Linked DNA regions of Saccharomyces cerevisiae S288C. Changing the gene in region 3 together with the main gene of any one other region gives a genetic interaction. Each region holds a gene or a part of one and is shown on either strand. Other genes may lie near its edges.

The links. A genetic interaction does not mean that the proteins touch.
Region 1: of CLN3 (region 3) and ULP2, extra expression of one rescues a mutant of the other (dosage rescue), as found in Saccharomyces cerevisiae (2 studies listed by BioGRID, with this or other methods).
Region 2: mutations in CLN3 (region 3) and AKR1 together harm fitness more than expected from each alone (negative genetic interaction), as found in Saccharomyces cerevisiae (2 studies listed by BioGRID).

What each region holds. Positions count from the first base shown.
Region 1 is NC_001141.2:291,011-296,237, reverse strand, and holds ULP2 (SUMO protease ULP2), read right to left. Parts: upstream 3,606-5,227; coding exon 501-3,605; downstream 1-500. Other genes in the region: E3 ubiquitin-protein ligase SSM4, read left to right, coding at 1-188; cAMP-dependent protein kinase regulatory subunit BCY1, read left to right, coding at 4,569-5,227. UniProt on the Saccharomyces cerevisiae protein: Insertion mutation in SMT4 confers temperature and benomyl sensitivity; high copy suppressor of a temperature sensitive mutation in MIF2.
Region 2 is NC_001136.10:995,529-1,000,048, forward strand, and holds AKR1 (palmitoyltransferase AKR1), read right to left. Parts: upstream 2,796-4,520; coding exon 501-2,795; downstream 1-500. Other genes in the region: exodeoxyribonuclease DIN7, read right to left, coding at 1-6; PEX10 (ubiquitin-protein ligase peroxin 10), read left to right, coding at 3,336-4,349. UniProt on the Saccharomyces cerevisiae protein: Palmitoyltransferase specific for casein kinase 1. Palmitoylates isoforms YCK1 and YCK2 at both C-terminal cysteine residues, which is required for their proper plasma membrane localization.
Region 3 is NC_001133.9:65,235-69,046, reverse strand, and holds CLN3 (cyclin CLN3), read left to right. Parts: upstream 1-1,526; coding exon 1,527-3,269; downstream 3,270-3,812. Other genes in the region: holocytochrome c synthase CYC3, read left to right, coding at 1-331; Rho family guanine nucleotide exchange factor CDC24, read right to left, coding at 3,643-3,812. UniProt on the Saccharomyces cerevisiae protein: Essential for the control of the cell cycle at the G1/S (start) transition. CLN3 may be an upstream activator of the G1 cyclins which directly catalyze start.

The DNA of each region.
Region 1 (5,227 bases), on a different chromosome or scaffold from region 3:
AATCATTCCCAACATGGACAAGGATGCAAGATATTTATTTCGGACTACTGATAGCATTAGAGTCATTTACGTTCTTTTTCCAAGCAACTGTGCTGTTCATTCAATGGTTCAAAAGTACTGTACAGAATGTAAAAGACGAGGTTTACACTAAGGGTAGAGCTTTAGAAAATTTACCAGATGAAAGTTAAAGGCGTTTTCTTCCTTACATTTAAAATGAATGCTAGCATATTTACATATATATATCTACATTAAGTTATATGTTTTTCCACTGTTTTATTTCTTATTGTTAGAATTATAGAAAAAAAATTTTTGTAAAACATTTCATTAGAAAAATTTACCATTCTGAATACGAAAGAACAAAATAAAAAATATGCCTATTTATGTGAGTATGTATATTACTAGTTATTTTATTGCTGTTACTATTATTATGCGAGAATGTTAAAAAAATAAAAATAAAGAGGAAAAGAATAAAAAATATAAAACTATGCGTGCGAGTGCTTTCAAGGGTCTTCATCTTCCAAGAGTATAGGATTATCTCTGCCCTCATCCCAAACAGAATCTTGAGACTGGTTATTTTCATCTCCATAATTAGAGAGAAGTTGTGCATTTGATCCCTTGCTTGTCGCGCTGGTTCTTGGAATACCCCTAGTTGGACTACTAAATGCCACATCATCAATATCAACCAACTTTTCGTTCAGTTCTTTGTCAACATTTTGAAGTATTTTACCAAGACTGTCATTATTACCATTACTTTCCTGAGTGTTGTCATGATTTTTTTCCGCTACATTAGGTAGTGAACTACCAATTAAATTGACGTCCGAGTCATCCCTGTTAACAATACCACTAGTATTTTTACTTTCAGAATTCACTCCTAACCTCGAATCTTGTTCTGTATCTGAAATTACAATGTTGGTATTATTGGGACTAGATTGGCGTTCCATAGAATCAGTCGATAGAGATTGAACATGCGAGGAAAGTTGTGGGATTTTTTTGCTTGGGTAAATCCTTTTAGGTTTAGGCGACGGCATCATAATATCATGGGTGGATGACAGGGCTTGATCGTTTTTTATTGGTGACGAAACGCCTTCAAACTGCTTAGCCCTCGTCTTTAAAGACGGCCTTCCAAAGTATGGTGACGTAAATTCTTCTTGTTCAGTTTCATTCGCACTTTCTGATATGAAAGGAGATGAACTCTTTAAAATATTGTGACGTATGGGAGGAGAAACGGATGCTGTTTCTGGAGAAGCAGCGCGAACGGGATCTTCATTATCAGTTATTATTTCACCGGTGGGCTGTCGTACTACGGAATTATGCAACTCTGTCGGCTCTCTTTCTGTTGTTGAAATACTGGATGATCGTGAGCAGGGAGGTTCCGAGGTTAACTGCGCGTTATTATCTTTACTGCTTTGATCTATATTTTCAATGATTTGAATTTCTTCATCGTCATCGTCGTAATTTTCATTATTGTTGATATTGGTGCTTTTTTTCTCCTCCATTTGCATAACTTCTTCATATAAATTTTCTTTTTTCAGATAGCTGATGTAATTGAGTTGTAAGAGTTTTAGAGTATGCCTTAAATTCTTTCTCGCACTATTTCTTTCATTTTTATCAAAATATTTATTAATCATTTTTGCGGTGAAGTGCTTACTTTTAATCTTAGAATTCTTCCATACATCAATTGTTTCCACCGGATTTTCAAAAAATTTTCTAATATTCAAAATAACATGAACACCACAATCGCTCATATTAGGTTGTTGTGGAACTGGACACGTTTTCATTTTGATTTGTGTTTTATCCAGTTGAATTGAATATTTATCAAGTGCATAGGATATGAGAAATTCTTTTATTGGATCAATTTCTCTTGAATGAGTTTGCCTCAACGAGTCGAAAGTCAAAATATTAACCAGAGGATTATTTATAGAAATCTCATCGGAGTTGATGGCATCGTTTTTATCTTTGTTTTGATGAAAATCCAAGATCGCATCCAAGTTTGTTATAATGCAACTAAACCAATGATAACTTATGTTAATTGGTATAACAACGTACTTTTTAGAAAACAAATCAGTATTGTTAACCCACTTTTTTACATTAGAATAATAATCTGCTGGATTACTAATTAGTTTCGTGTAAAAAAAAGAGGACATTAAGTGAACTTGCTCTCTTTTGATAATTGACTTTTCAATAGATGATTCAATGTAAAATTTTGTAAAAAAATCCAAAATGCTATCATTAACCCAATCCTTATTGAAAAGACACTTGAAATCTTGATTTGTTATAGTATAGCTTGAACCATCGTTGAATTTGTAACAGAGGCTAGGTTTAAACAGTTCTGGTGTTTCAAATTCCGTAGTTGCATCATCAAATTCTGAATTTGAATTTGAGTTTGCTGGATCCGAAACATCTTTAAATCTATTTGAACGTCTTAGTTGTGAAACTGCGTGGGATTGTAAAGTTTCTGTCCCGTTAGTGTTGTAGAAATCTGAGGGTGAAATATTCGATTTTGGAACAGATATTGAATGCTCTTTTTTCCCAAGGCTGGCAATACGAGTCCTTTTTGTTAAGGATTGCAAACCATGAGGTTTGTTTGATAAGAAATGAGTATGAATTTGCGGACTTTCATCATCATTAGTAGAAAGTTTAGTTTTTTTAAGTCTTAAAGAGTCGAATGCATTTTTAGTGGAGTTTATTGCCCTTTCCATGTTCAATGAAGGTGATGACGAAGAAATAGGATGAATCAGATGTTTTAGTCTTTCCAAAATCTGCTCTTTATGATCTAAAATTTCGACTTTTATCGACGAAGAATATGACATCAACAGGAATCTTTTAATAGACTTTATTTTTTTATTTGAAGCGGAGCTTGCAGTGGACCATATCAAGATGTTCGTGTTAATGTTGATTGAAGAGTTATTCACGTCTAGTATCATCTTGACCTTTTTCAGATCTTTTAAAATTATAGCCATAAAAGAGTTCTTCTTATCTAAAATTATCAATTCAACATCATCAAGCAGATTAACTTGTGAATTGTAGATCACCGATTGTTGAAAATACAATGAAAATTTCGGATGATTATGATCTGAGACAAAAGTCATTATGCATGGTGCTTTATGCCGATAAATTCGCAATGTTTTCGAATCAACGCAAGAAAATTGGCCGTTCAAATTTAGTTTAGTGGAAATAATTGAGCCATTTGGAGAAGTGCTCGCTACTGCCGGTTCCGGTGAACCATTCCCCAGATTATTAGACATTTGGAACAAAAGACCATTGGAAGTGCTTTTGAGTGATGAGTGTCTTTTCAAAGGAGAGCTTTGCAAAGGTTCAAAATCTTGATCTGAACAGCCACTGTTGACGCCTTCACCTTCATCATTATTATCAACATCATTATCCGACAATTCGATCTGCCTCTTACTCTCGCTGTTCATACTCAAAACTGGTAAGAAATCCTTTGTAGAAGCATTGTTTAGATGATCAACGATTTTCGGATCCTTACGAAAAGTGTTATATCTTTTGGGCGGTAGAGAAGCAGAGGACCTTGGAGAGCTGGCACGAGAGCTGTTCAAGGTGTCTAGCGGTTTGAGACTATTAAACTTGCGTTTTCTGGCAGACATATATGTGGGGTTTGATGTGCAATAAACATAGATATACGTGTATTATTGCACCTGGGTATGGGGTATACTGTGTAGTGTCCTTTTATCCCGCTCTTTATTTCTCTCTCTAAGAAGAAACGAATACACTGTAATGTAATTGGTTGTGATGTTTTATCTCTCTCTGATGACGTGATATCTTTTATGTTGTTTCACGATGTTCTCTTATTGTATTGTATAATAGTTTCTCTTAGTAGGAAGATAGAAAAAGGACAAAGAAGGCAAAGAACCAAATGTCATTTCTAACGACACGGCACGTGATTACTGATCTGATAATAAATGAAACAAGCCATACGTGAGAAAGTAAAAAAAAAAAGGAGGAGGGAAAAGAATACGAGTGGAAAATATAAAGGACTTTATATACTTTTCAGATTAGCCGCCGACGATTTTACTTACTCAGCTTTTTTCTATCTTTCAAAACGCTCAAAAGAGGAGCATACGACTTCGGCGGCTAATCTTCACCCAAGAAAAAAAAAGCGCATGCCACCACGACGAGCGGAAAAAAACAAAGCACCCAATCACCACCCTTCCTTCTTTCTTCGTGTTATACCCGCCACTTTTGTTCTGCCTGATAATATATTGATTATACTGTGCTCGGATTCCGACCTCTTCTTTGTTGCAGAAGCCATAAGCTGAACTTATTGCATTTGCTCAAGTGCATTTATTATGGCGCCGCGCCGCCGCTCTCCAAAATTCTTGTCCTTCCTCGTTTTGCTGGCAAGGAGCAAAACGAAGAGGAAGGTAGAAAAGAGAAAATTTGAACAAACAGGGAAAAGGGAAAGAGAAAAAGGGACACTTTACGCTTTCCTCGACTAAGTCAAGCGATCGCTATCATCACATCCATTACACGCATTTCACGCATACATAAATAGGAAGATCATTTACAACAAGCAGATTATTTTCAAAAGACAACAGTAAGAATAAACGATGGTATCTTCTTTGCCCAAGGAATCGCAAGCCGAATTGCAACTGTTCCAGAACGAAATCAACGCCGCTAATCCGTCCGACTTTCTTCAGTTCTCCGCCAACTATTTCAATAAAAGGCTGGAACAACAGAGAGCGTTCCTCAAGGCCAGGGAGCCTGAATTTAAGGCAAAGAACATTGTTCTATTTCCGGAACCAGAGGAGTCATTTTCCAGACCTCAATCAGCTCAATCTCAATCAAGATCCAGATCGAGTGTTATGTTCAAATCCCCCTTTGTGAACGAGGACCCACACTCCAACGTGTTTAAAAGTGGGTTTAATTTAGACCCGCACGAACAGGACACTCACCAGCAAGCACAGGAAGAACAACAGCATACTAGAGAAAAGACATCAACTCCTCCACTCCCAATGCACTTCAACGCCCAAAGGCGTACTTCTGTTAGTGGTGAGACCTTACAACCAAACAATTTTGACGATTGGACTCCAGATCACTATAAGGAAAAGTCCGAGCAGCAATTGCAAAGACTGGAAAAATCGATCCGTAATAACTTTCTGTTCAACAAGCTGGATTCCGACTCAAAAAGGCTGGTCATAAATTGTCTGGAGGAGAAGTCCGTCCCCAAAGGTGCTACGATAATCAAGCAAGGTGACCAAGGGGACTA
Region 2 (4,520 bases), on a different chromosome or scaffold from region 3:
TCCCATTCCTATCGAATAATAATGTTCTTGTTGTTAATTTTGATGATCGTTTTCTCTTACTCGCTAAACAATATCTCTTTCCATATTAAGCCCATAAATATGATTACTTTTCTCGAATTACCACGAACGACATAGAGTGCCACATATCCCTTTTGTGCAACTATTATCCTTTAACGTGTCACGGAACGCGTCAAAATGGTAATATGTAAACAAAGGAAAGTGAAATCAAAACAAAACTAGGGCAGCTTCCAGTAATTTCCCAAAACAAACATATGTATATTATATATATATGTGCTTTGAAATGAATGTTACAAATGTGGCTATCTTCATTTTTTCAGCTAAACATTTATTAACCACCTCATGAGCTTTCCTAATAGTCCTTGATTCAGCCAATCACTTATAAGAAGCACTGCAGCTTGAGGCATAAACTTTTCTATACTCACAGTTGTTTGATAAAAGGCTAAAATATACAGTTTCTCCTAATGAAAACAACAAAATTTTCATACCATATCATTTCCTTGTTCAACATCCTTATTTGGCAATTTGTAAAGCTTAAAATAGTCAACTTCTATCCCGTTGAGCAAAGCTTTAGAGCCCGAAGGAGGATACAAAATTCGCCTCCACAAAGGCGCATTTATATCGCTTGTAAGCCAAAAGTCTTTAACATTTCTTTTCCAACCGTAATTTGTTGGTATTCTTGATGTAATCGAATACACATTATGTCCGGTGCTATCCTTGATGCCAATGGTTTCTTTTATAACCGCTAACCACTGATCCATACCAGTCACCGCGTAACAAACGCCAAAACAAGTGCGTGGTTTCCTTATCGTTGAGCCTGGGACTGGTGCTAGTACAGTATCATTACTCTCCTCACCCGGATCAATCGACGGCGCAAATCCTTCTGGAGTAGTATTGAAGTTTTCATTGAAAGATAACCCATCGGGGCCAATGGACTTACTCTCTTTCATCAAAACATTGAATTCTGTATTGGTCATTCCTTTACATATTTGAAAGGCTTGGACGAAGATCAAACTTGCAACCCAAATAGATTGGAGTAAAGCCCATAATAATATCAGAAAGACAAATCTATCATATATTAATCCCGAACAGAGATCTGAAGCGCCTAGGATGAAACATTTGCCATTTTTCTGGGATGTATCTTCGTGTGCATCTTCAAGTTCATCAAAATATTCCAGGCAAAGTGCAAGAAATGTGAAAATACCACTTTCCATTAATGTAATAAAAAATATAAATGCTTTGTGATTTTTGAGTCCGACATCATTAAAGATCCAAGGGCAGTAATGATCAAATCTTGCAACCACAGCATTGTTTAAGGGCGAAAATTTGCTTCTTAGAGGTTTTCTAATCCAAGTTTCGATACAAAAGTTCTTCGTATCAAATTTACCGATTTCGAGCAAGTTCGAGATTGTTTGTCGCACGTTCTCATGATCAGTTTCTTCTGGCAAACATCCTGGGTCCATAATAACAAGCTGCCCAAAAAGGTAAAATACAGAAACAAGTATTACCAGCATTAGGATGTTAGTATATTGTTCATCAGAAAATGTTCGAGGCATAACTTTGAAAAACCAAACGATAGTCACCCAAAGTAAAGTGCCAAAAAAAACACCGGATAACAAAGGTGACCTTAACAAGGTAACGTTGTGGACACCCATTCGTCCATATGACGGCAGAACGAATTTGTTCAAGCCTTTGTTAGTGGCAATGGCCAATAAAAAAAGGACAATGATTACAAACAAAGGGTTAATATGAGAGAAAAGAGCAAATGCGATTCCTAGAAATAGAAATGGCGTTATGAATGTAACGAGCTTAGCATGTTGACTTTTTTTGAACCATTTTTTAATGGGATAACCATGGTAGTCGAATCCAGAATGTGTTAGAGCCTCTCTAAGTGAGTACACAGTGTTCATTTCTTGAGCAATAGCAAAGCAATCTTTTCCGGTATCCGTTTTTTGGAAAAAATCTGCACCATCTTGAATCAAGTATTTTAGTACATGTGGTTGCCCTTTTACAGTGCCCCAGTGCAGTGGGGTGAATCCTTCTGTATCTGCGATCTTTATGCTGGCACCAAATTTCAACAATTCTGCTACAGTTAGGGAATCTCCCTGGTAAGCAGCCCATAGTAGTGAAGTTCTGCCCTTTGGGTCTCGGCAATCTATATCTAAAAGACCTTTGCTGACAACGTTGAATAAAACGTATAGAACTAGCATTATATTTGAGCTGTTCACAGATAAGTGTAGTAGATTGAAACCTTGGTCATCGGTCATGGTGGGATCAGCTCCATGCTTAAGCAAAAAATCGACAATGTACACGTACCCATACCTTGCAGCCCAATGTAATGGTGTGGCATGCAAAGCACCAGCCCTTGCATTGACATCAGCGCCTTGTGAAACTAGAAAATCCACTACAGAAAGTCTGTTATTAATACTTGCCCAATGCAAACCAGTGATATGTTCCGTAGAGTCACCGTCGTTATTAACTTCGAGCAACTTTCCATGTATCATTTCTTTGACAGTCGCTAGATCACCTCTTTGGCAAGCGGTATGGTAGCGAGTTAACAGAGGATCTTCTTCGGCCTCATCATTATGATTCACCTGCTCGTTCCCGCTTTCCTCTTCATTTCCTGATCGGATAGCCTTTAATGATGCCAACGAAGTAATTTCGTTAGAATCACCCAGACTAATATCTTCCTGTGAGTCGTTATTGCTAGGATCAACCGTTTGCTCTTCATTCGTCAAGGTCGACGCCCGTGGCACATTCTCTAATTCGTTCACCATCAATTAGCTACTCTGAACAAAGAAGTGTTTTTTTATCTAGACGAAACGGAAATGATATATTCTACTTCGTGGTTTGTAATCTACTAATCGACCGTATATATTCCTCGCTTGCACTTGTGTCTGTACATTACTTCGTTTTATAGATCGTTCAATATGAGGGTGTAATAAGAAAGTACGAAACAATGGGCTGGCTTTATCACCCGGAGTGTAGGGTACGGATGTTTGTGATCAGAGTAACCCAATGCTAAAAGTCGTTCGGAGGAATAAGCAGCAAAACGTGAATTGATAATATTATAGGAGCCAAAGTTCTAACAATGATAACGTCTCAACAGCTACATGAGCTGTCCATATGTGCATCTTCTTGCAAGTAATCAGCCGGTTTTATCACAATTTTTACCCACCGTGATAATCTGAGAGGGCGAAGTAGGTATTAGCCGTTTACATTAGAAAAATAAGGTAGTGGTAATAAAGCACACTACACATCGAAGAAAGAAACAGACACTACTACATCGGTGGGGGGTCATACAATAGAGGACCAAAATGAAGAATGATAATAAGTTGCAAAAGGAAGCACTTATGCGACTATCGCAGCTAAGATTTCCATTTGCCGATGCTCCAAGTATAGTACAAGCGCATCAAAAAGATGAACAAATCCAGGGCCTTTTGATTATGAAAGTGACTGAATTGTGCAAATTGATAAAGAGTCAATTGTTTGTTAACTCTTACCCTAAGGAACTGTCCATATTTGCCAAGCTCCTGTATTTGCTCTTTACTACAGGAAGACGTGGTAGAACGTTAGGTGAGGAATATGTTGACTTGACATACACTAATAGGAAGGGTACCAGACTTGCAGGACGGCTCAAAATGATTGTATTCGCTTTCGCTTATCCTTTATGTCCATATTTCATCACCAAACTATACAAGAAAATAATGAAGAACAACAAGGAAAGTAAAATTGAAGATACTGAAAGTGTTGCCGCGTTTTGTAAGGGCCTTTTAGATTTCATTTTAGACGTACACATGACCCTCTTTTATTTCAAAGGAGCTTTTTACAGTATTTCCAAAAGGATTTTTGGTATGAGATATGTTTTTAAACATATATTGTCAAAAAATGAGGCCAATTTTAGAGAAGAGGGCTCACAAAAGTACAAAGTATTAGGTTATATCCTATTAGCTCAAAATGTTATGAAATGGTACCCTGTCCTAACCTCTACGCTCGGGTCCTGGATTTATGGGAGAAAAAGGACCAATGATTCAATTACTAGGTCGTCTGTTGGTCTACAGGAGCGTTCAGAACATGAATCTATAGAAGGCATACCGAAGGAATCGCAGCTGACTCATATAAATTTGTCAGATAAAAACCAATTGCCATTTATTCCAGAAGCCTCGAGAAAATGCATCCTATGTCTCATGAACATGAGTGATCCTAGCTGCGCGCCATGTGGACATCTATTTTGTTGGAGTTGTCTTATGAGCTGGTGTAAAGAGAGGCCAGAATGCCCCTTGTGCAGACAACACTGTCAACCACAGGAAATTCTGGTCCTGCGGCAATAGAGGAACTAATCAATAATTTGACTACTCTTTTAGCATTGTCCACAGGCCTTTTTCAGAAATAACGCAGACGTCTGAGCAGGAGAAGTAAAACGCGAAGGGGAAATAATGCTTTTTAGTCTTGTAATTATATTAATTAATTAAATAAGTTTTTCTTTATCGGAATTTTATTTA
Region 3 (3,812 bases):
GGGGAAACCGGGCGTATTGAGCCCTCGTGCTCGCTGGATGCACCTGTGCGGCCTACTGTTTCCGTCCCATTTTAGCCAAGAACTACCATTCGACAGGCACGACTGGATTGTACTCCGAGGCGAGCGCAAAGCGGAACAACAACCTCCAACCTTCAAGGAAGTTAGATACGTCTTGGATTTCTACGGAGGGCCCGACGACGAAAACGGAATGCCTACTTTCCACGTGGATGTCCGTCCTGCCCTAGATAGTCTAGACAATGCTAAGGACCGGATGACCCGTTTCTTGGACCGGATGATCTCGGGTCCGTCCTCTTCGTCCTCCGCCCCTTAAATGATATACAGCCAGCGTAAGTACGTGTAAATAGCCAAGTAAGAAATAATGATGTCCTAGTGCAGCCACAATCAATTTCACTTTTTCATATATATTTTTCCACCTTATTATCACAAGGTGCACCTTTATCGTGTGCCACGGCGGTAAAAAACTACCTTCAGGGGTACGATACATTCTGTGCTGGCGACCACGGGGCTGACAGAGACACCCGTAGAGGCTACATTACTGATTTGGGAAATTTCCCAAATTGGAAATATCACCTCGTCGACGTGCTGCGGTGCATGGCTGTTTTACCCGTTTAGGAAAAAACTCGGCGGGTTTTCTTGACGGGCAAATGTCGCCATTCGTCTCGTTTGAACGCTTGGCCTGTAAAACAGCTAACTCATTCACTATCTCTATCCTGCGACCGTGATGATACCGAAAGTATGCTGATACAGATCGGTCCCTCATATCGCGATAGGGCTTTCTGAGCTCTCCTCCCCCTTCTTCCCTCCCCAGCCAAAGAGGCCGGTTTTCCTTCTGGGGAAGTGTCGCAACCAAACGCTGTGCTCAAACCCTAAATTGTGAACTTTCAAGAAAAAAAAAAAGAAAAAGTGAAAAATTATCAGGCAAGAAAAAGAAATTACCAAGCCTGCTCTCACTGTAATGATCAAGTTACATAAATTTACTATCGGATTAGTGTGTCCCTCTGCCACATTTCCATATTTGGCCTTGGGTTTTTGCCCTCATCTTTTTTTTTTCTTCCTCCTACCTATTTATAATTTGTATATCTGTACTTTCCTCGAGCTTTTAATCTTCTTCTTAAACATTTTCTTGTGTAGTATACTTTCACACAATTTCTTTCTTGATTTTTTCTTCTACTACTGAGTCTGCCAGTCAAATGGATTTCTGAGGAAAGAGGACTATACCCATTAGGAAACGAATTGCCCGAGTAGTCTCCTCTGCCGACTTAAACCAACCTTTTTCTATTTCTCTTTTCTTTTCTCCCTCTTTTTTCTCTGTACTAGCATCCAAAAGCAAGCATCCATCCGAGTCCCAGTCGCAATCTCACATCTCCAATTTAACGTATCCATTGCATTTCCTCATTCGGTTTAACTCCTCTGCATTTCTTTTCTGACCCATAGCATTTCTTACATTCCATTGCATCTCCCTTTTACTCTCGTTCAAGACACTGATTTGATACGCTTTCTGTACGATGGCCATATTGAAGGATACCATAATTAGATACGCTAATGCAAGGTATGCTACCGCTAGTGGCACTTCCACCGCCACTGCCGCCTCTGTCAGCGCTGCCTCATGTCCTAATTTGCCCTTGCTCTTGCAAAAGAGGCGGGCCATTGCTAGTGCAAAGTCTAAAAACCCTAATCTCGTTAAAAGAGAATTGCAAGCACATCACTCAGCGATCAGCGAATACAATAATGATCAATTGGACCACTATTTCCGTCTTTCCCACACAGAAAGGCCGCTGTACAACCTGACTAACTTCAACTCTCAGCCACAAGTTAATCCGAAGATGCGTTTCTTGATCTTTGACTTCATCATGTACTGTCACACAAGACTCAATCTATCGACCTCGACTTTGTTCCTTACTTTCACTATCTTGGACAAGTATTCCTCGCGGTTCATTATCAAGAGTTACAACTACCAGCTCTTGTCCTTGACCGCGCTTTGGATTTCGTCCAAATTTTGGGACTCCAAGAATAGAATGGCCACTTTGAAAGTCTTGCAAAACTTGTGTTGCAATCAATATTCTATAAAGCAATTCACGACTATGGAAATGCATCTTTTCAAATCACTCGATTGGTCCATCTGTCAGTCGGCAACATTCGACTCCTACATCGACATCTTCTTGTTCCAATCTACGTCCCCGTTATCGCCTGGCGTTGTCCTTTCTGCCCCTTTGGAAGCTTTCATTCAACAGAAACTGGCCTTATTAAATAACGCTGCTGGTACTGCTATTAATAAATCGTCCTCTTCTCAAGGCCCCTCTTTGAACATCAACGAGATCAAATTGGGTGCCATTATGTTGTGCGAGTTAGCTTCCTTCAATCTCGAATTATCATTTAAATATGATCGTTCACTAATTGCGCTGGGTGCAATTAACCTCATCAAATTATCTTTGAACTACTATAATTCAAACCTTTGGGAAAATATCAATCTGGCTTTGGAGGAAAACTGCCAAGACCTAGATATTAAATTGTCAGAAATCTCTAATACTTTATTGGATATAGCAATGGACCAAAATTCTTTCCCCTCCAGTTTCAAATCAAAATATTTGAATAGCAATAAGACATCTTTAGCAAAATCTCTCTTAGACGCATTACAAAACTATTGTATTCAATTGAAACTGGAAGAATTCTACCGTTCACAAGAATTGGAAACCATGTACAATACTATCTTTGCTCAGTCCTTTGACAGCGATTCATTGACTTGTGTTTACTCAAATGCTACTACTCCAAAGAGCGCTACGGTTTCATCTGCGGCCACAGACTATTTCTCGGATCACACTCATTTAAGAAGGTTGACCAAAGATAGCATTTCTCCACCATTTGCCTTCACTCCAACCTCATCTTCATCCTCTCCATCTCCATTCAATTCCCCTTACAAGACTTCAAGTTCAATGACGACCCCAGACTCTGCATCACACCATTCACATTCAGGTTCGTTCTCTTCTACCCAAAATTCTTTTAAAAGGTCACTGAGCATCCCACAAAATTCAAGCATCTTTTGGCCAAGCCCACTAACTCCCACCACCCCATCTCTAATGTCAAATAGAAAATTATTACAAAATTTATCTGTGCGTTCAAAAAGATTATTTCCTGTTAGACCCATGGCCACTGCTCACCCATGCTCTGCCCCCACCCAACTGAAAAAGAGATCAACTTCCTCTGTGGATTGTGATTTTAATGATAGTAGCAACCTCAAGAAAACTCGCTGAAACGACAAAAAAAAAATGCATTTAACAACAAATAAATTAAAATTTGCAAAGCAAATACGTTAACATACATTAATGATCTTTTTTTCTTTTTGTTTTCACAGGACTCATTATTTCTTTAAATATACTTATATTACATTTGCATAGAATTACAAAAAAAAAAAAATTATAAAAACGCACAACCTAAAATACGATTACTATCGTTTTTTCTCCTTACTTCCTCTAGTCACATTATACATTTTTTTTCATCCTTCACAGACGTATCTTAATACTAAGTGTGGATCAATATAATGGGTATAGCTTGAACATCTGCCCCTCTCTATCTAATGTTTTTTTCTTGAATTATTTAGTATTTGCTGTATACTAGTTTTATTTATCAATACAGACGAATGTTCAAGAATTTCTCATTGTTTTCCGCCAACATTTCTTTAGCAACATTCCAATCTTCATCGCTACCTAACACAACAAAATCCCCATCTTCGTCCTGATATTTGATCTTGGTGATTGGTGAAATGTTGTTATTATGTGTATTCGAAATTTTAGAAT